Lytechinus pictus: one gene and its partners. The protein of the gene in region 1 interacts with the protein of each later gene in a pairwise test. Links are inferred from orthologs where the notes say so. Each region holds a gene or a part of one and is shown in the gene's direction. Other genes may lie near its edges. The genes, in order: golgin subfamily A member 2-like, alpha-ketoglutarate-dependent dioxygenase alkB homolog 3-like and cyclin-H-like.

The links.
Region 2: the proteins of golgin subfamily A member 2-like (region 1) and alpha-ketoglutarate-dependent dioxygenase alkB homolog 3-like interact in binary tests that used the Homo sapiens proteins (3 or more experiments, as listed by UniProt). The link is inferred for Lytechinus pictus from reciprocal best matches to the Homo sapiens genes GOLGA2 and ALKBH3.
Region 3: the proteins of golgin subfamily A member 2-like (region 1) and cyclin-H-like interact in binary tests that used the Homo sapiens proteins (3 or more experiments, as listed by UniProt). The link is inferred for Lytechinus pictus from reciprocal best matches to the Homo sapiens genes GOLGA2 and CCNH.

The regions. Positions count from the first base shown.
Region 1 is NC_087259.1:22,002,130-22,010,230, forward strand, and holds the start of golgin subfamily A member 2-like, read left to right. Parts: upstream 1-5,050; 5' UTR 5,051-5,070; coding exon 5,071-5,118; intron 5,119-8,101. UniProt on the Homo sapiens protein: Peripheral membrane component of the cis-Golgi stack that acts as a membrane skeleton that maintains the structure of the Golgi apparatus, and as a vesicle thether that facilitates vesicle fusion to the Golgi membrane.
Region 2 is NC_087263.1:2,942,063-2,949,210, forward strand, and holds the start of alpha-ketoglutarate-dependent dioxygenase alkB homolog 3-like, read left to right. Parts: upstream 1-4,095; 5' UTR 4,096-4,239; intron 4,240-5,383; 5' UTR 5,384-5,408; coding exon 5,409-5,477; intron 5,478-5,954; coding exon 5,955-6,160; intron 6,161-7,071; coding exon 7,072-7,119; intron 7,120-7,148. UniProt on the Homo sapiens protein: Dioxygenase that mediates demethylation of DNA and RNA containing 1-methyladenosine (m1A). Repairs alkylated DNA containing 1-methyladenosine (m1A) and 3-methylcytosine (m3C) by oxidative demethylation. Has a strong preference for single-stranded DNA.
Region 3 is NC_087247.1:17,504,472-17,512,418, forward strand, and holds the start of cyclin-H-like, read left to right. Parts: upstream 1-4,838; 5' UTR 4,839-4,924; coding exon 4,925-5,041; intron 5,042-6,560; coding exon 6,561-6,683; intron 6,684-7,947. UniProt on the Homo sapiens protein: Regulates CDK7, the catalytic subunit of the CDK-activating kinase (CAK) enzymatic complex. CAK activates the cyclin-associated kinases CDK1, CDK2, CDK4 and CDK6 by threonine phosphorylation.

The DNA.
Region 1 (8,101 bases):
TTACGTTTACTTTTTTATGCGATTTTTTGTTTAAAGGCGCCGTCAATACGCTAAAACGCACCCCTCCCCCATTTACCGAAACCTGGATACGCCAATATGCTTCAATGTTTGATGTTTTCCTTGATATATACATTTTTTTAATATATGTGTATGTATCATAAAATATATTTATTTATGTATGACATACATTTTGTAATATTATATGAAATGAATATTACAACAGTTCAAATTATGAAACAGTTACTAAACTGCGTTCAATCTCTCAACAATGCATATTTCCTTTCTTATTAGCGGTGCGTACGTGTACTTACCAATTGAGTAAGATATTTGATATAAGTAATCACAATACAAATAGATGCGACGAAATCACAGAAGGACAGATGAAAGATGAAAATATTTTTGATTTTGCGTAAAGTTTTGAAGCTCAATATGGCACCCATTGAAAGGAGGTTCAAAATCACGCCCAAAACTGACATGAAAAGTGGAATTACCCACGCTAATGTATCCACGATGGCCATATAGGTATGGGCTTCTAAGCTTACTTTGTATCCAGATGAAGGTGTTCGAGAATTTTTTTATTTCATATAAACAGTTGAGAACGAAGAAGCTGGTCATAGATCACCAAGATTTTGCGTATATACTGAATCAATATGAAGACTAGATTAAGTTTATACATGTAGAGAAATTGAAAAAAAAATCAATGAAAAAAGGGGGAAAGGGTGGTCAGGCTCAACGCAGGTAAATCCCATACAAAAGAGGATAATAACGAAAGCAAATCATTGGCTGATGGGAAGCCATTCTTTTCATTTTGATCGCGCATAATTAGCACAGATGGTCACATGATCCCAAATGACCAATTACAGCATGTGCATGACTTTTTTTATGATCGACACGAAATATAATTCTGACCACTCCGCATCATCAACGTCATTACATCATAATCATCATCATCACCGCCGCCACGCCCTTGCCTGCATGTATTTTCGTTCGATGATCCATAAACCACGGTATAATTCGCAAGCTTTTGAAACGAATTCAAATCAAGCTTCAATGGATGATCCAAAGATTTTTTTTTATTTCATCTGCTCATTAATTAACTTTCCTTATATTTCAATTTATGTATTATTTATTCCAGCTAGGCAGATATCCATTAGCGATTGAATTATCTTTATGTTTTCAGGTATAGTACAACATATAAATTCGGCAAATAGAGAAGAAACCTCTTAAAATTAGGATGCAATTCTCCTCTAAACATTTTGCAAGATTTTTTTTTTTTTTTTTTTTTTTTTTGGGGGGGGGCTACCATTACGCCCCTGGATCTATAATGAGTCACGGATGTGAACTTAGTTTTTCCCTATATTATACGTATTTCTGGCCCTTATTCCCAGAGCTCATAAGTATTTGATTCATACTACAGCAGGTCTTGCGGGGGTCTTGGACCTGGTTTTGCTTTCCCGCCAAGTCTGCAAATTAGGTTGTAGGGCTTTATACTCAAGGGAGGTCGGGCATGGGGATGTGCACATTTTGAGAAGGTGGAACTGAGTACAGAATATTAGAACAGATACCACATCATAAAGGAACCTATTCCTGAACGATATTGTGGAGGTATAAGTATATAGATATTTCAAATAACCCACTAGCCTGGAAGAGGAATTGAGTACAGTTGTTTATAAAGTTTAAACAATAGTTGTTAGAGTGACGGGCTTAAACAACATGCTTGAAATTTTAAACAGCGTTTTTTTACAGTATATAGGCCTATACACGGTAAAAAAAATCATACAACGTTGTTTACTATATGAACCTTGCAGCAATTGTTTAAACAGTATAAACAAGTGTTTAAATCTTAAGCAACAAAGTTTAATTTTCAATATCTAATTTTCAATAAATTAAACATGATTGTTTAAACGGTTAAACAAATACTGTAAGGTTCATATAGTAAACAACGTTGTATAAAATCTTTAACAGCGTTTTTACTGTGTACACGACGACTATAAATACGCGCTAGCGATGAAAGTTACAAAGTATACCTCTCAATATAAACTTGTCAATGACATTAGATAGGCTAAGCTTGTTTAGTACAAAATGATATAGATATGGAAGAAACATGCGAATCAAATTATCATGATTATAGGGCCTAATAATCGGTCATGTTTTAATGGTCGATGTATAGGCCTAGGCCTAAATTATACACCCAGAACTGCATAAACGGATTATTCATGTTATTGTCACAATAGGCCTCATTTTACCAACAGCTACAAACTCCTTGACAATGTAATGCAACATGTATAAGAAATTATTATTAGTGTAATTCCAGGTTACTATAGGAGAAAGTCAAAGGTCATTTCAGATATGCAATTTAAATTTGATAATGATTCATGATTTGTTCCGATTAATTGAAAAAAAATGTTTTGTCATATTGTATGAGATGATTATCGGATAATACAATAAGTTTTTAATCAAAGATCATTTGATATTAATGAAATTAGGATTTAACTATATTTAGTAAACAGCAAGGGCGTAAATCCCAGGGGGATGGGGATACATCCCCCACTTTTCGGAGGGGGGGGGGGGTGGCATGTACAATCATCCCCCACTTTTCAAGATGGAAAAAATATTTTTTTTAATCATCAAATGGTTAATACTTCTGTTAACGTGTGGATTCATCTTTAAAGTGCTTAGATTGGCCTACTTAAAAAAATTGCAAAATTTCTCGCGCGGTCGCATGAATCATGGGAGTTTAGTTGTAATATTAAGTCCATTAATGAATATGTGATTCCAATTACCTTTGAATATGATTATAACTTATCATAACGATTCAAAATATATTTTAAATATACACTCTCGTGAATATGGGGCAGGGGCCGCGGAAGCGGGGGGGGGGGGGCTTCAGCCCCCCACTTTCTTCCAAAATCGTGTACAAAAACGTAAAAATTACAATTTTTATGATTGTGATTTTTTGCATGGTCAGCCCCCACTTTTAGCTCAGCCCCCCCCCCCACTTTGAAAACCGTTCCGCGGCCCCTGTGGGGGGGGGGGGGTGGGTCATCTGGTATCTTTGTGGAAGCGGGGGTGTTGTATTTGGCCTACCGTATTCTTCAAGTTAAGTGTACGATGAGTCACCGTACATCAATGCCGTTAACGAAACACTAATCTTTGCTCAAAATATCGAATGTTGCATCATCTCCATATAATCTTAAAGATTATTCAAAATCTTTCCTTTTTTCATATACAATGTCATTGTGATATTACCACTTTTTTAAGATTATATTGTGGCTTGTGATGGCCTATGATCATTTTATATGGCACCCTCATTCCCGATAATAATAATATAATAATAATAATATAGGGTATTTATATTGCGCATGCACATATCCACCTTGTTAGGTGCTCAAGGCGCTCCTATATTACCCGGCTAAGCTATCCGGCTAATCATGATCATATTTTTGTTTTCATTCTCATCTCACTTTAACCAGTGAGCAAATGAGTTTTCATAGAACAAAACTCGACTATTTAGTCCCTATTTGCTCTTTTTATATTTCTTGTTCACATTCTTCTAAAGTTTACGTTATTGATGATACTCTTATCATCATCATTTTAATCGACTGTAGCAACTTTTTAAGGCTCGCAAAGTACGCTCACCGCCGCAATTTCTCTCATAATTACACTCATTGAAAGACGATTTGGTTATCATTCTGTCTTCCAACTATGGAAAATCTGCTCGCTCGCTTCTCTCGCTCGTATTTGGATACTAACTGTAATCCAGTAGTTTCGTCACAACGAATACATTATAGCCATCGAAAAAAAAGACATCGTGATAATAGTCCTTCAAGTGAAAAAATTGTATTATCCATTAATTATCCAGTTATATACTATATACCCCTGTACCGTGAACCCAGTTGGGGCATCATTCTTTCTTCCACCTATTGAAAATTTGCTCAGTCGCTATGCTCACTTGCCGCATTATCCAATAATCACTCCTCATGAAAGACGATTTTGCCGTCATCATGTCTTTCAACTACTGAAAATTTGCCCGCTCGCTCGCATTTGCTGAACTGGACATGTAGTTCGATCAGTAGTAACACAATTCATTACAATTATATAGCCATTGAAAAAAAAATCCGGAAAGGCCTTTAATTGAAAGATTAAAGGAATATGTACACAGTTACTTAGCCCTATATAGGTGTGGGGGTGTCCCCCAAATTTTTAATTTTCTGGTCAATAAGATATTGCTTTCATGCCCCCCCCCCCCCCCATGCTCGGACCGGATTTATACGCCAGTACGTGGTAAACATTTTTTTTAAAGAAACAAATATATATTCACTGTAATGATTGCTGCCATATTGAATCGCATAAGGTGAGACTGGGTGCGATCTTGTTAACCACTGAGGGGGCGGGCGCAATTTTTAAAGGGTGTGCTGGCCAGGCGTGCTGGTTTGCAAAAAAAGAAGAACTTTAAGAAGAAGAACGTAAAAGAGAGAAAAGGAGTTTCACTCCAAAATGCAGGTCGGATTTTGTGAAATTTCTATTTTTAGCATACCAACATGATTTTCAGGGGGTGATGCATACGACAGCACCCCCAGATTTTTTTTTGGGGGGGGGTGCTCTTTTTAGTCTAGATCACAAGTCGCAGCACCCCCGCTTCCCAGGGCCATGCCCTCCTCCGTGCGTCATGCAGAAATTTATCACTTTTCCTTATCTTTTCCAATTCTCTCTTTAGCCTTTTATTTTTATTTTTCTACAAATCAATGAAGAGAATGAACACACATTATTAGGTGTCATGATAATGCGAAGTATACAAATTACTCAGTTGAACTCGAAAAATTGGTTAAATCCATCCCGAAATCCATGATTCGCAGTCATGTTTGGATCATCACAATTCAGATCAGTGCAGATTTTTTTTTTTTTTTTTTTTTGATGCGTTGGATCTTGCATACGTGTCTGCGAAAGGCCGCCTAAAGTGATGAAAAAATAGTTATTGTGTGCGAATGAATCGGTCATGCTACGCACATCTTTACTGTCCAATGACCTTTTTTCATTAATTTACACACTCAACCCTTCAGCACTGCAGATATGGCGGATATTTCTCGAGAAGAAAAGCTCGCAGCTGCGAGGAAAAAGGTAGTTTATATGCTTTTTCTACAATATATCATATCTTTTATGTATTATTCAATGTGTATATATATTGGCAGAAAACTTGTAGACTATTGTTTGCATCTTAATTTTTAAATTTTACGTGTATTTTCTGCTTTAATTTGTGGATGTTTTATTGATTTGTAGAAAGTGGTGAGTGGTCCCACTCATTCGTGTCAGTGTGTTGTTTTCATTTGGACAGCATATTGTAACTGACACAGTGAGCCAGACTGGTTTGGGTGATTCGCCGTTTTTTCGCCGTTTTTTCTCCCTTTTTTCTCCCTTTTTCCCAACAGAAAAACGGCTAGAAAACGGCTAAAAAACGGCGACAAAAAAAGTGTACCGACTATGGAAAGCTAACTGTATGCAACAATGATTTTTATCAGAATAAAATAGTGAATACCTCCCTTCGAGAAAACGGCTACAAAACGGCTAATAAAGGGCGAATACCTCCATTGCGGGAAACGGCTACAAAACGGCTAATAAATGGCGAATACCTTCCTTGTGGAAAACGGCTAATAAAGGGCGAATATCTCCCTTGTGGAAAACGGCTACAAAATGACTAATATAAGGGTGAATACCCCCATCGGTAAAAAAGCCTTCAAAACTGCTAATAAATGACGAAAGGCACAAAAAAGTAATAAAACTAGTAATAAATAGGACTTAACAAGTAAAAATCAGCAAATAATGTTGTACCACACAAGCTGGTGAGTGCATGTACTTGAGACAACTTGGAATAACATTCATACTACCGTAATGAATGGTAGTGGATAATACCGAACAATCTTCAGTTTTTTCAATCATATCAAACCTTTTCTTAAAATTCATCAAAATTCCACCATAAAGTAATCACAAATACCTACTAAAAATAAGAATTTTAAAATGGCTGAAATCGATCGGCCTATATCTGAAAAAAAAATTCTCAGCTTCCGATTTCGCCCCTCTTCGCGTGTGAAATCTTTTGTCACTTGTGGTTCGTATACCAAACACATGTTTTCTGCTGTCATAAGAGAATTAACAAAAATCTATAATTAATTCATTTTCACCGTATTTTGTTATGTTTAGAAAATTGATACTTCATAAATATGATTTATTTTCATCATTTTTTCTTTTGGAAAGATGCTGCAATGTGCTAAATGTATTAAATTATACTGTACTGTATTATTTTCTTTATCTTGCCACTTGTTACGATCGTTTGCGTTTGCGAAGTGGGAATGGCCGCACCCTTTCGAGAAAACCAGGATAGCTTTTCTTGAAAGGGTGGGATGAGGGAAGGGAGTCAAATAAACACACCTTCTCGGGACAACCAGGGGAGCTTTTCACGAAAGGCTGTGTTTAATAGTTTTCTGAGCCAGTTGTTTCTATGAAAATTATTCATCAAATAATAACAACAACAATATAGGCGATTGGTAGAAATGCACATATGGGGGGGGGGGGGCCTGTTACACCCATAAATGTGAAAATCGCTCACAAATGTAATAACACTTTACCCACAAATGTAACAACGCCCAAAAATGTAATAACACTTTACCCACAAATGTAATAATTTAACCCACAAATGTATTAATGCACTTTACCCACAAATGTTATAATTTTTGATCGCCCACAAATGTAATAATGACTTTACCCAAAAATGTAATAAATTTGAAGGGATTTGATCCGTTCTAAACTAAAATCTATAGTAATACGTTGATAAAGCACAAAAGTGCACAAAAGTCTTTTTCCAGACCCGGTTGTTTCAAAAAGTATAATAGTCCAAAGTCTTTTTTCCAGACCCAGTTGTTTCAGAAATTATAATATAAGTCTAGTCTTATTTCCAGAACCGGGTCTGGAAAAAATTATTTGTCCTTTTTATATCATAATTCTTAAAAAGAAAATTTCCTCCTTCTTTATACATTTACACACATAATATGTTTATCAAGAAAAAAAATAATTATGTTATCGTCATCATCATCACGGCCGCCATCAAAATCATTACCACCACCATCATTCTCGTCCTCTTCTTCCTCTTTATCCCCCTTCATTATCACCACTATCATTATTTAATTACATCACAAATACACTATCATCCTCGATTATCATTCCGTTTTAACAAACGCTGACTATTGTAGTAGGTCCGTGATTGGACAATGTGGTTTGGGGGATTCATCCGGGTTGAAGAAACACAACGAGAGATCACAAGTGATCATTGCGTAACTTAAATTGAAACAGATTCTTCTTATTGTTAGGTGTTCACTGCAATCTTCACACCTTCCATTGTTCACAAAACGTGCGAGACGGTGTAATTAATTGACCCCATTGAAGTCGCAACAGCTAGGGCATTCACTCCAAAGCTTCTGTTATACATTTTAAAAGTTATCTTTCCTATAAAACGAAGTAGCTCAAGTGCATTGGGGTCTTTAACACTATAAAACACAGTTTTGATCAATATACCAACGAGATCGAACCAGCTCATGACATCATGGAGGCTGATGTATGCCTCCCCAAGAATTAGAGGCCGTTCTCATTACGCTTTCTAAACTAGTTTACTGGAAACCGATTCAGGAAACCACTTTGGAAGATCGCTTTGCTAGCGTTCCCACTTGATCACACGAAAGTGGTTTTCAATATCACTTCACTTTTAAAAAGCGCTCTTGTTGCTATGGTAACGCTCTCAGTGGGGTGACACGTTTCGCGCGAAATTCGAAACCGCAGCATAGGCATTCTACACCTGTCGTGTGGAGTAGCGTGCTCAAAATGTGCGAAGATCGCTTCCCGAAGAACGGTTGTGTCCTCACTTACGCTAAAACCAGTTAAACGAGGCAAAGCGATCTTAAAAACTACATCGCGAGGTGGTTTTCCAAACTGGTTTGGAAGATCGCTTCCAAGACCGCTTTGACCGTTCTCACTACGCGTTAAACTAGTTTCCACTAAACTAGTTTCCAGTAAACTAGTTTTAGGAACGTAGTGAGAACAGCCTCTTAAAGTATAT
Region 2 (7,148 bases), on another chromosome or scaffold:
CTAATAAGATTGGGTCCTTGGAAAATTACTGTGAGTCATGAAATGGTTGTTAGCAGGGGCACTTCGGTCACCCCCCCCCCCCACTGTCCCTTGGAAACGTCCCTCAGTTGTTTCCACCCCCCCCCCCCCCCATCAAGCCCATGAATAGAAGTCATTTATTAAAGTCGGTAAACAGGGGCCGCGGAACGGTTTTCAAAGTGGGGGAGGGCTGACCATTCAAAAAATATATGGTAATTTTTTATGTTTTTGTACAATGTTTCGGAAAAAAGTGGGGGACTGAAGCCCCCCCCCCCCCCCCCCGTTTCCGCGGCCCCTGGTAAACATAATACAAAATACAAGTTGCCAGGGTAGGCAGTCGGAAAGGGGCAGCTGACGGTCCTCGATCACTTACCGGTCAAGCAATCGCAAGCTCCCAAAATTTCTCAATAAATATACTTAGTATGCTTAGATTTGCATTAAAACAACAATAAAATCCTAAATCCAGATATAAATTTTAGTATAATGATCACGATTAGAAGCAAGTATTAGTAATCTAGTTATTATCTATGCTTGTTTAATATTCAAAATACTTCGGAGCAGCATTTATACTCACCAAGTAAAGAGATGCACAAATCTGCAATGATCGATGTAATCTTTGGTTTCGGCCTTCGTCATGTTCACCTATTTATACTTTTAGAACCACTTGAGAATCTTTATCTCAAACAGGGTGCTATATAAAGTGCAAGAAAAAAATACGTTGACCTTCATTTCCAACATTAATGTCTTTATTATTGTACATCATAAAATAATTAAATTCATGCTACGCAGTCATGCTGCGCGAACTGCTGGAATGAAACTCACGGGAGAAAAGATCTTCAATGACACAGCTACCACCAGATGGCAAATAATAAACAACAGAACAGATTAATCATGTTTATTAAAATGTAAAATGTCAAAAAGTTTGTGCACTCAATGTCCCGTTCTGAGCTCGGGTTTAAATATTTAAAATATTTTCTAAAGTTGTGTTTTGTGACACAACAGTACATGTTCGATTCATCATCTCATATGTTACTTAGGTAATTCTGAACTTTCTGGGAATAATAACATGGGTTTATTCGTCATTGTAGCATGACGAAGAAGAAAACTGAGCATAAGAAACATATTAAAATGTGAACAAAATTTTGACATTTTTGGCTTCCCATAATCTTTTCATCACAGTGTTAGACTAGTCTGCTATGCAGACTCTGAATGGCTCGTGAAGTGGGATCTGCAGCTGGTTTGCGAAGCAAACCAGCCTGAAAGGGCGAGCGAAGCGAGCCATTTCAGAGACCTAGTCTGCTATGCAGACTCCTTGAATCAGCTGTGATACACACACTGCAGATGTGGGTCTACAATTGTAGACTAGTGTTAGACCAATATCTCTAAAACAGCAAACATTAGAATAAAAAATAAAAAAACATTACTTTCATTCTTGTAATAATCATCTTGGAAACTAGAAGATAACTAAAATACAGAAATTAATCTTGACTGAGTTGTGGAATGAAAGGAATTAACATTTTGCAGTCCATTTATTGTGTCATCGCCCTAATGGTATTTTTAATATCATGCCGCATTCATGTATATAGCGCAGGGGCGGATACAGGATTTTTCGGGGGGTGCATTGTATTCTTCAAGAAAATTATGACAACCAAAAGTAAGGTCTTCGCTGCCAAATCGAGCTCATTAAATTGACAAGCAAAAAAAAATAGTAAAAGAAAGGGTCCTCACTTGCTAATGCATGACATAATTTTATTACAATAAAAATTATTTTTGGTGCCCCTCAGAAGGGGGGGGGGGGCACGGGCTGGATTCCCCTGGATCTGCCACTGATGTAGGCCTATAGCGACTCCTGAAATGATTGAAAGTTGCAGAGGCGCACAAGAAAAAATGAAAGAATTATAGAATTTATGAGAGTTCAAACACAGTATTCATTTCCAAAACTTTTTAAGTGATAAGCGTAAACTACTGAATCGCGCTGTTGGCGTAACCGTGTTCTCACCCCGAGCGGTACGCCTATACTATATTATAAACAATACGATAACATATGGTATACATATTAACATGGTCATTGTGAGGTATCATGCATGAAGTACAAAGACCCTATGTACCCTGGAGGCTCATTAACCTTTCTTCTTATTTTTATTTTTTTTATTCCATTTTGTATTACTTTTTTTTAAAATTATTTCTCCCAGAATCTACTTTCCCTTCCTATATTTCCGTCCCGCCCCCTCTTTTGGTTCCTGCAATTAAAGAAAGGGAATTTTTTTTTTTCGAACAAAGTTGGTCCTCGCTTTTTTTTTCTTTCACTGTTTTCAGCTCTCCTTTCATTAATTTTCTTTTTGGTGTCGTTTCTCTTATTAATTATCATTCCCTTATGTTACTCGTTTTTTTCTCGTGTGTGCATTCTTTTATGGAAGTTCCCCCTCCTTTCTCTACCTTCCCCCTTATTTGTTTCAATAAAGTCATAGGGCCTTTTCACACGTGAATCTTGAACCATCATTGTAATGATGATTGCAGGCGTGCGTGATTCTTATCATGTTCTAGTTTGGTTTCACACGTGCTAAAAATTCGTCATTCGCCTTTTTTTTCACTGGAATCATCATTCAAATTACGATTTCTTTTACCATGTGAAAGGGCTGATAGCAGTGGCGTACCTAGGATTTTCCACAGGGGGGGCAAAACCGTCCGCAAAAAAATTTGACAAGCAAAAAAAAAAAAAAAAAAAAAAAAGGTCTTCGATCACAAATAAAGGATTTCGTACCAGAAAAAAATTGACAAGCAAAAAAAAAAAAAAAAAAAAAAAAAAGGTCTTCAAGCTCGTCAGGGGGGCATTGAAGGTCTTAAAGCTCGTCAGGGGGGCAAAAAAGGTTTTTCAAGCCCGTCAGGGGGGGCAAAGATACGTTTTTGCATGGGTTGTGGCTCGTCAGGGGGGGGGGGGGCAGAGTGCCCCCCCCTGCCCCCCCCCCCCCCCCCCCGTAGGTACGCTAGTGGCTGATAGTGAATTTGCTCCGTATAGTATGAAAAAAAAATAACAGAAAACTTGATTGGGGACAATCAAATTTCGAGGATTTTTTTTATAATAACTATTTGTCTCACATAATATGCCTGATGAACTTGTATGGTATTTGGGCTTCATGTCCATGGTATTCCTGACTGATACATTATGATCGCCCAATTTGCCACAATAATAATGATCGTTATTACTAGTATTGTATTTGTCAGTTGGCATTAGCATTTGCCCATGGTGCCACCGATTTCCAGATTTGGTGCTTGTTTCTTCTGGTATGATTGAGCCCAAAATCTTAATTTGAACACGGGCCCTTCTCACAAGCGCCTCGGGGTCCTAAAATCTATTCATTGTATTATAAACTTGTGTAAATATACAGTGATCATGTATTATGTTATATGTTTGGTTTTGAATAAATTCATTCATTCCCTCATCCATCCATTCATTCATCCATTTATTCGTTCATTAATTCATTCATCCATCAATTTATTCGTTCATTCATTCATTTATCAATTTATTTATTCATTCATTCATTGATTCCATCCATTTATTAGTTCGTTCATCCATTCATTTACTCATTTTTTCATTCATCCATTTATCATTCACTCGTTCATTCATTCATTCATTAATCCATTCATTCATTCATCCGTCTATTTATTCGCTCATTCATTCATCATTCATTTAGTAGCCATGTAGGCCCTATCGCAAAAAACCTTGCAAATTATGATTACTTCATTATAATGGAGTAATATATTTAAATGACAAATATATTTGTCATTTAAAATCGAATTAAAAAAAGATTCAACACGAGAGACGATATTCATTTTAGAAAGTAAAATTAATGTTTCATTCAAAGTTTAATAGAATAAAATGACATATTATTCTAGTAATAAAGTAGTATAATGGCCATGCATTCATACACAAACACAAAATAAAGAAATTTAAGTTTGATACTGAAAAGATTTAACTTAAACTGACAGGAAAAATTGTAGAGGTACCGGTACATTTTTAGGTTGCCTGTTTATCCATTTAGATTTTTTTTAATTCCTTTGTAAACAAACTGCATTTTCATCTTGAAGTAAGGCTAGATATGTTTCGTAAACATTACTTCAGCTGAACGAATTTATTTTGCTTCTTAATCTTTGCATTTTTTTATGCTATTTACTTAATCCCAAGGTTACCATCTTTAGTTAAGTGTTGTATTATACTGAAAGGTAAGCCCATGAATTCATACAGTATATTCGTGATAGTGATAGTTGAATAACGTCAACTAACTTGGAGTTTAAATAGCTCGAAAACGATTACCTAAGTTCCTCCCTGTAGATGTGCTGCATTTGGATATTACCAATACGTACAATTCGTGCACAAGTATCATGGAATCGTGATTAAGCGTATTCCTTTGCATGTGTAATGGATTGCACGCGCCGGTAATCAGGATGGCATCACTGAGTCACCTTTGATACAATCCTCGCTGTTTTAGTCGTGTGAGTGATACTGATAGGATCCCTTTCATATTATAACATTGATTTAAATGGGAAGTTGTCCTAGATCTATATTTATTAATAGTTTATTGAGAATGAAAACTACATTACATAGATTGGCCTGGCTTGGTCGGGGGGGGGGGGGGGGGGGGGGGGGGTCGGGTGTCTGGACACTTTCTTTATATTTTTGAAGCCTTCTTTTTTTCTTCTTTTTTCATTGACTTTGTCGGACTTTGGATTAAACTAAAATATGAATTCAATAGTTGCAATCATCTTCTTTTTTGTTCTCTATAAATAGTATAATTAATATTTCCTAACATTTTGATTTTGTACTAAAAAAGTCTAAAAACTGATGAAACTTCGCTTGTAAATTTTTCCAAATGACTCAAAAATTGATCGTCCACGTCCAGACACAACAACTGGGTAAACAGTACTACAGGCATATCATGTCTCATCATCCCCCTCCATTTCCACGTACACTAGAAAGTGAAATCACTTTGGTTTTGTCTCGATATTAAACTCCTTGCCTTGAAATGAAACGTATCTCAGCAATTATATTATTTATGATAATTTTTCATTGTGCTGTATATATTGTTAAAATGAATACAGTGGCAGTCAGCAATCTTTGAGCATAGTTTACACTCGGGTCCAGAACAATAGAGTGACCAAGCCAGAACAATAGAACAATATATTCACTGGACCATTTTTTTTGTTCTTGCTCGAGTGTAAAATCGAGTGTAAACTATGCTCAAAGATTGCTGACTGGGTCTGTAACTATTCCTAAGGCTAAGTTCAAGTATTTTTATACTAGTACAAGCAGAGTTAATTAATTACATTTCAACATCCAGTCAAATCAATAACATTTTGTTGTAATCAGGTAGCCCTGCATACAGCTTGATAAAATGGCCGATAACAAGAGACAGAGAGCAAGAATACAAGGATCATGGGCTGCCCCACCATCCAAAGGAAAGGTGATAAAATAATGTTAATGATTGGATTGGTGATGATGATGATGATGATGATGATAATGGTGGTGGTGGTGGTGTTGGTGGTGGTGGTGGAGATGAGGATTATGATGATGGTGGTGGTGATGATGATCAATGATGATGATGATGATAATGATGGTGGTGGTCGTGGAGATGATGGTGGTGGTGGTAGTGGTGATGATGATGGTTATGATGGTGATGATGATGGTGGTGGTGGTGGAGATGATGATTATGATGATGGTGGTGGTGGTGGTGATATACTGATGATCAATGATGATGATGATGATGATGATAATGATGGTGGTGGTGGTGGTAGTGGTAGTGGTGATGATGATGGTTATGATGGTGATGATGATGATGGTGGTGATTATGATTATGATGATGGTGACGATGATGATAATTGATGGTGATGATGATAATTAATGATGTTTTTTTTGTTTTGTTTTATGTGTGTGTTTACAGGCCAGAGGTAGGCCTACTGGTCCAGGCCCTGGATCAAAGCCTCCATCTAGACCAGGTCCCAACCCCAATGCAGTGTCCATGACAAGTAAGACCCCAGAGACTACAACATCTCCTACAACAAAGGGCCAATCAGATTGTCTGCCGCAGACACTGACATTTACAGAGACAGGTCCGATAAGAAGAATTCCTGAACCAAAGGAGATTGTGTAAGTGTTTAAACCACCCTTAAGTTTTGGTAAATCCTTCAAAAAGTATCGGAAACTAGTCCTGGTGGGTGTTTCATAAATCCGTTTTTGAGTTAAGAGCGACTTTAAGAACGACTTGTGATCCTTTCTTGTGGTCAATGGTATATTCATTGGGGATGATTTAGGAATGTTCACCAGTCTTTCTTACAGTCGCTCTTAACTTACGAACAGCTTTATGAAACGGCCCCCAGGGGGTGTTTCACAAAGATTTAAGTGTGACTTAGAGTCATGCCTAAACGCCAACGCACACATGATGAATACGCGTTTGTGCGTGTCTCCTGAGCACGATCTGGCCAATGCGGTGATGCGCTGTGTACTACAAGCAACTAAATTTAAGTGCTACTCTAATTCATAATGAAATTTTTGTGAAACACCTTCCAGGTCATTACTACTCGTACATTAGATGAGTTTTTGTGTCCTAAAGCTGTTATTGTGTGGATGATATGAGATCAAAACATCTACTTGAGGGTTTTTTCTTTTATATTGTATGAGTATGTTGAGAAATTAGGAAATATTTTGGCAATCTCAAACTTTGTTCTTCTCTTTTTTTCCAAAATGTTTAATATACAAGTAGCCCATTAAAACAAAACAGATAACCATTGTTTTTTAACCTAAATAACTTGGCAACTATTCATTATTATGAATAAAGGTAAAAAAAAGTGTATATGTGCAATACAGATATGTGAAAGGAAAAGATCATGAAATTTCGGTGAAAAAAAAGTTTACTTGCTGATTTGAACAGGCCTATGTAGCATCTAGATAGTGTTTGCCTATTCATAGTTAAGCACACTTGCTGACAGAGAAGAGAAGTTATTCAAGAAAAAGCCTTCCAATTTTTTGCTGTAAAATACTTTTGTTTTTTTATTTTGCAGGAAAGATGGGTCTTATGTGATCAGTGTGGAACCTGGAGGGGAGGCTAGGTAAGATTTGACTTAGTAGTAACTTTGTA
Region 3 (7,947 bases), on another chromosome or scaffold:
AAAGAATGAAGGGGGAAAAAGGAATGAAAGAAAATAAATAATAAAAGACAGAAAGGGATGAGAGTAATGGATAAGAAAGAAAGAAAGAAAGAAGGAAGGAAGGAAGGGAAGAAGGAATAAAAGAAAGGAAGGAAAGAATGAAGGAAAAAAAGAAAAACAAAGGGAGACAGAAGGAAAGAAACAAAAATAAAGTAAATAAAAAAAATAAAAGGATAGGAAGGGGGATGAAGGAAGGAAAAAATGTTTCCTTCATTATTTGAAGGAAAGAAAATTAAAGAAGTCAGGAAAGGATGAAAGTAATGAAAAAGAAAGATGGAAGGAAAAAAAAAGGAATGCAATAAAAACAAAGGAAAGGCAGAGAAAATAAGGGAAAGAAAGAATGAAAGAAAAAAGAAGGGAAAGAAAGAGGAATGAAAAAAAGGAAGGCAGGATGACAGAAATAGTGAAAGAAAAGAAGGAAATAAAGGAAGGAAAGAATAGAGGAGGCAAGAATAAATGTAGGAAGGAAGGAAAGAAGAAAGGAATGAAAGAAAGAACAAAAGGAGAGAAAGAGAGAATGAACTTGAATGCAAGCATAGAAAAAAAGAAAAGCAAGAAAAAGATGGGGAAAAAAGGACATATAGAAATAAAGAAAATAAATGGAAACAGAGGGAGAAAGGAAGGAAAAAAAGTTAGGATATATGGAAAAAAAGATAGATGGAACAAAAAAGGCATGAAGTAATATAGAAGAAAGGATGAAGAAAGAAGGAAAAAAAAGAAAGAGAGGAAGCTCAAACTTGAAACAAACACCGGGACCCCCAAAAATCAATCGTCTAAAATTCTACTGATATTTGTTCTCCATTAAATATTCTGAAAATATATTTTCGAAATGGTTAGAATAGGGTTGCAAAGGGATGGAAACTTTCCGGAAATTTGGAACATTTCCATGGAAAGTTTCAGGAATTTTCAGCTGCCGGGAATTTCAGGAATTTTAATTTTTTCACAAAAAGTGATAAATTCTGTTTTTATTTAAATACAAAATTATAAATAGATATCCTCAAATACTATACTTTTCATTTGTATTTAAACTATTCTTCATTCTATAAATTGCCTAGGGTATAGAATATTCATCAAACTGTACATAAATACATAGTACGTGTATATGTATCCAGTAACATGATGGAGCATTATGTACAAAATGAAGATTTTCAATTCAACATGAAAAAAATAACACTTTGCATTACACCATTTTTCATTTTTGTCTCGCCTGCATAACAGAGCAAGACTATAGGCGCCGCTTTTCCGACGGCGGCGGTGTCGTCAACATTGAAATCTTAACCAAGGTTAAGTTTTTGAAATGTCATAACTTAAAAAGTTTATGGACCTAGTTCATGAAACTTGGACATAAGGTTATTCAAGTATTACTGAATATCCTGCCTGAGTTTAAGGTCACATGACCAAGGTCAAAGGTCATTTAGGGTCAATGAACTTGGACCAAGTTGGGGTATTTATTGAATTACCATCATAACTTCGAAAGTTTATGGATCTGGGGTGGTATTCTGAAAATGTTCTTATCTTTGTTCTTATCTTTTATCTTATCTCATTGAGATGTATGTATTTTTGTATTTTAAAGAGGTGTGAAATAAATGAATCTGAATCTGAAATCTGAGATAAGAAGACGCTAAAATCATTGCAAATCGGTATTCTGAAAATCTTCTTAACGCGTTCTTATCTCTGTAAGGACTGCCTCCTTCTTATCTTCAACACGCCCATTTTTTAGGATATTACCAATCAAAATGCGCTTTATATTGTCAGTTTAACCAATAGAAGCGTTCCTTATGTCAAGAGAATATCATGGGCACTGCGCGAACACTGTTTCTGGCGCATTGCGTGAAATAGGCATTTTATACGCAATGACTGATTATTATTTTGAGACATGTGCACAATAAGGAAAGAAAGAAAGAAAGAAAGAAAGAAAGAAAGAAAGGAAGGGAGGGAGGGAGGGAGGGAGGGAGGGAGGAAGGAAGGAAGGAAGGAAGGAAGGAAGGAAGGAAGGAAGGAAGGAAGGAAGGAAGGAAGGAAGGAAGGAAGGAAGGAAGGAAGGAAGGAAGAAAGAAAGTAAGTAAAGAAAAAAAGTAAATAAAGCAGGTACGAATAAAGAATAAAACAGGAAGAAAGAAAGTAAGTAGGTAAGAAAGGAGACAGAAAAGGGTCAGAATGAAGCAGAAATAAAAAAAATGAAAGGAACAAAGCAGAAAATAATGAAAGAGTACAAACGAAAGAAAGCAAGCAAAAAGAACTTAAATGAAGAAAAGGAAAGAAAGAAACTTAAAGGAAAAAACGAAAAAGGACCAAAAAAAGATTAAAAGGATAAAATGAAGGAATAAAGAACTGAAAAAACAGGAAAAACGAGTGAAAGAAAAAAAAGAAAGAGAAAAAGAAGGAATAAAAACATGTAAAAGGTGAAGGAAGAGAGAAAAAAGGAAAATGAAACAATGAAAGAGAAATTAAAGCAAAAATAAAGACTAAAGAAAGAAATCGAAAGAAAGGTTAATTCAAAGAAAGAAAGAAAAAGAACGAAAAGGGAAAATAAAAAAGGAAGAAAGATGAAGAATACATGAAACAAAGTAACATAAGAATAAGGAAGAGATTAAAAAATTCAAAAGAATAAAGCAAAAGATATAAATGAAGAATAAAAGAAAGGAAGATAGACAGATAGAAAGGAAGAAAAAGTGAAAATAGATAAAGAAAGACAAAAGGATAGAAAAAAAAGGTGAAAAACAAAATAAAGGGTGGATAAAAGAAAGGATGGAAAGAATACATGTTATTACCAGTGGCCATCTTTTTTTAGCAAGAAAGAACGCGAACATCGTGAGATGTGATAACCCTCTAGCTATCTTAAATATTATCATAAATATCGTAAAAGATAAGAACGTTTTCAGAATACCACTTATCTTTATTTTGTTCTTATCTTTTTAGTGCGCTTTTGTATTATGCGCGTGTAACAAATTTACGCGCTCAGCATAGGATGGAAAGCAAGATAAGAAAAAGATAAGAACAAAAGATAAGAACGTTTTCAGAATACCAATTTGAGAACGTGACGTAGATAAGAACAAAATTAAGATAAGAACGTTTTCAGAATACCGCCCCTGATTCATAAAACTTGGACATAATAGTAATCAAGTGCGTGAGGAGCCTGACTCTGAGCTCACCAATTTCAGTTTCATCTGCTTCTCCTTCCCTAACTAAAGTCAAAGAATTATCACTACCATTATATTTCATGTATGTAAATTCACTTCAATATATTTTTAATTCTTATGTGCAGCACTTAAATGACAAAATACGGTTAATTCTGCTATCTATGTCGCAAATTTAAACCTTCAATTTCTTATGAGATTGAATTATCATGTCTAACTGAACTACTAGTTTATCTCCCACATGTGGTATTTTCAAAGCATTGTCTCTCAAGAATTCATCAATGACAAAAAAGGAACAAAAGCTTTTGGGAATTTGAATAAACCACACAAATCATTGAACTAAACTCTTTATATACCAGTTGTTGTAACGATCTAAAAATGAGCTCAAACTTTATCAAGTATTACCACCCAAGTGTTTGTATGTATAACTAAAACATGTGGCAAATGGCTCTGGATAAAAATGTCTAATTGATGAGAAATGGGTAAAATAAGCACAAAATTCGATCAAATGTGAGTATTTTTCCAAGCAATATTACACTGTCCCAATATGCTTTTTATGCCCCCGCAGACGAAGTCTGGAGGGGGCATTAAGCGTTGCCCCTGTCCGTCCGTCCGTCCCCCCACTTGGTTTCCACGCAATAAATCGAAAAATATTTTTCCTGTGCAATAACTCAAAAAATATTCAAATGAATTTAACAATTTTTGTTGTGTAGGTAGATGACACCAAAATACAGGCTAAGTTCGAAATTGGAGTCCGCAGGTCAAAGGTCACAGCTTATTAAATATGGAATTGGTTTCCGCGCTATAACTCTAAAAATATTAAATGGATTTAAAAAAATTTTGGTGTGTAGGTAGATGACATCAAAATACAGGCTAAGTTTGAATTGGAGTCTGCAGGTCAAAGGTCACAGCTCATAAAATATGCAAATTGGTTTCTGCGCACAAACTCGAAAAAATATTTGATGGATTTTAAACATTTTTGGTGTGTAGGTAGATGACACCAAAATACAGGCTAAGTTCAAATTCGGAGTCCGCAGGTCAAAGGTCACAGCTCATTATATATGCGAGATGGTTTCAAAGGTCTAAATTTGTTCATATGCATATTGGTTTCTGCACGATATTAAGTTCAATCATATTGAATGAATTTCTGATCGCGTTAAGTGGGGGCATCTGTGTCCTTGGGACACGTCAAATTTCTAGTCTGTGTTAGTGATCATCAGAATTGTCGGTTTTGAGCTAAGATTTCATGATATCATAAAGATAAGTTTACTTTATTGTACAAGATCTACTGTAGATAAATGATAATATGGTGACAATTAAACTTGATTTTAAATACATTTTCATGAAATATTTTTTCCTGCAACTATTTTCTTTTACCTGTATGGTAAATGTCTACAAGTATCACAAGAAATGAAAAAAACATTGAATTCTAAATCACACAATTATTGAAGTTGGAAGTAGGATTAGCTTGTTGCACCAGACTTTCCCCTCCTAAATTGTGGATTTATATACATGTACATAATGTCTAGCTGAATCTAGTTTGACACAAATGAAAATCATTTTATCATTTTGGTAATTGGTTTTTCCACTCACTGAGTGCGATTGAAATGGGAGGGGAAAATAATTTCATTGGTTGCTATCTAGTTCTTTCTTCATCCCTCTCTCTCTTTCTTTATGTTTTGCGCTCTATCAGTCTTATCCAGGCAAGTCGTCTTTTTTATCAGGATTTATTTGAAGTTAGGGAGAAGATGTATCATAACAGCACTCAACTGAGAGCATGGACATTCTCATCCCAGGAAGAACTGAACGAGAAACGGTCGGCTTCCAACCAAAGGTACAGGGAGGAACATCAATCCAAATCTCAGGTGAGACTTGTCACAAATACATCACAAGGTGAAATGAATTTAACATACATGGAGTTGGGGTGAATTACATAGTACAGACCAACCTCTCTTATCCGGACACGTTGGGACTTGGGACCAGCACCAATCCAGATAAGGGATTTATCCGGATCTGGGAATCTTAATATTAAATACACTGAACTGCCTTCCTTATGGTAGCTACACATAATCTATTGTAGTGGGCGTACACAGGCAAGTATTCCCTGCAGTGTCATTGCAAATTATAGGTGTTTTTTACGGAAATGAAACTCATTGGTCACCAAAACTCATGGATGATTTACCTGCTGAAATTATTGAGGTATACATCGAGCATACCTTGAAAGAAAGAGAATGACTCGATGAAACTAAGTTTTAAAACTGGATCATCGTGGCGAGCATCACAGCTTTGCAAAGCCAGCCATTGTTATGACTGTAGGCTCAAACATGATAGATGGCACTGTCTGTATCGAGGCCTATAGCGCTAGCTAGTGAGAAGTGTTGTTTTTTCTGAAAAAAAGAGAATGTGATAAAATGGTTGCGCTGTGCCCTGTTTTACTGGAAATTTATCCTGTTTAAGTTCTTTCGGTGATTTGGGTAAGATATTTTCATTAAAAAATAATGTGGTTGTAGGTAGACTATATTGGAAAATGTATGTAATCAAAGTGAGTTTGCGTAGGAATTTTGAGTTTAGATTGAAAGCTCATTCCCCCTCGTACGAGATTGAAAAAAAAAAAAAAAATCTCAGCAAGTGTGCATCCGAATAATATTGAGATTCGGATAAGGGGAGGCTGGATAAGAGAGGTCAGACTGTAGTTCATTATTTAATATTGTTTTCTTGGGCGTTAATGACAGTCGGCGGATCCAGGTGGGGGGGGGGGCACATCCGGCCCTTGACTCCTTTTGAGAGTCATAGCCAATATTTTTTATTTAATATGTTCATACACAAGTGTGCCCCCCTTAAGAGGCACAGCAAATATTTTAATGGGAATATGTATGTCATTCATTCAAAAGTGAGGACCTTTTTTTTTGGGGGGGTGTCAAATTTTATGAGGGAAAAGTGATTTTATATTTTTGTGAAAGCCTGGCATTTATTTTGCCTGCTTGTCACATTTTCCAAGGAAAAATGTGCCCCCCCCCTTTGGAAAATCCTGGATCTGCCCCTTATGACAATCCTTGATGTTTTTTTCTTTTACTGCATCAAAGCTCGGGTAAACCTTTGGGGAATATTGCGAATTGTATCATATAACATTCTAATCTAAGAAAACTGCAGCGATTATTATTTTTATCCATTGGATGTTTCTTTGTGAAAATTGGAATTTAACATTTGAGAATGTGTAGTTCCCTCTGTAAATTTTAATATATTTCTTAATCAACAGGTCCTTTGGATGCTAACAAACAAACTCAAGAAACAATGATATAGATTTATACATTTTCAGACCATTCTGTGCCTGAAAAATGGATGGAGAAATAAGCAGTTTTAATTACCTTTACACACTCTTTGCAGGGTAAAGATCCAACCACTTTCTTCTTGAGTGAAGGAGAGGAGAGGACACTTTGTGAATCGTATGAGTTTCTTCTTCGAGACTTTTGTAAGAAGTTTCAACCCCCTGTGCCTCCTGCTGTGGTGGTAAGCAATATTAAGTGTTTTGAGAAACATTTCAATTAATATATATACTTCTGCTTTTAACCCTGTTCATATAGCTGCTTATCTGTAAAAAGCCAACGATGTGGTTTTGATGTATGAACAATCATTTAGTTTTAGCTTTTCAGGACTATTTCATATTCTTGTCATAGTTAATGCATGAATTTATAGTATAAATGACAGGAACTTGTTCGTTTGGGTAGAAAGGATATTTTGCGCATAGTAAACTTTGAACATGATAAGTTTGTGAATACTCTTCTTCTGTAAACAGTACAGGCCACCGTCTGGTGTATTGTTGTACTGGTGAAGTGCAGAGTGCAAGTGTATGTACATCATTCGATAAAAAATTGCTTACAGCGTGCAAGTAATAACAAGTACCGGTACTCTCTGCTGTGCCCTTCACCGCATGGATTCTGTGAAGTGTGTACTTCAACAGTGCCTTAATAAATGCTGGTAGTATAGTAAACAATTATATTAGTAGACGGCGAGGGACATTGGATTGGAATAGATTTAGATTGATCCAACAATTTCTTTTCCAAATGTTATTTTTTAAAACAACAAATAAAAACAACAAGTGCTAAATGATTGTAGAAAAATGATGCCCAGTAATAATAATTTGTAATTTATCTTTTCCCAGACGTCAAATTTATTATTATTATGTAAATATTTCTGAAATACATCTTATAATCTTTACTTGCCAAGATACTCGCTGAATATTCTTTTTATACGCCTTACACCTATTATATGTCTCTTTTCATGTGAATTTTTTATTGCAAATGTATTAAATTGTTATATTTGTAATTTCAATATATTTTATACTTGGTTGTATTGACTTGTATGATATATTTTATTTTGAGTTACCTATGTGATTTGATCTTGCCATTCCGCTGTATTTGTTATTTTATTTGTAAATGTGTATATTCTATTCATCTTGGCTATACTCTTGTCTATTTGAATTTGTGTGCATTTTCTGTAGTCAAAAGTTACTATAGATTTATGATAATATGATGAAGATTTATGATGTTGTGATGAAGACAATATGATGGAGATTGAATGGAAATACGATCTTATGAAATCACTGATCATTGTGACTACTTGAGTTTGGAAGAAAAAAAATGATTCAACATGTATGTTTTGCTGTTTGCTACTGACGAAGTCTGGAAGGAGCATGTAGCATTTCACCTAATCTATAATTTGCCTCACATGGCTGATAAATGATAACAATTGGTTAGATTTTCTTTCATGGATG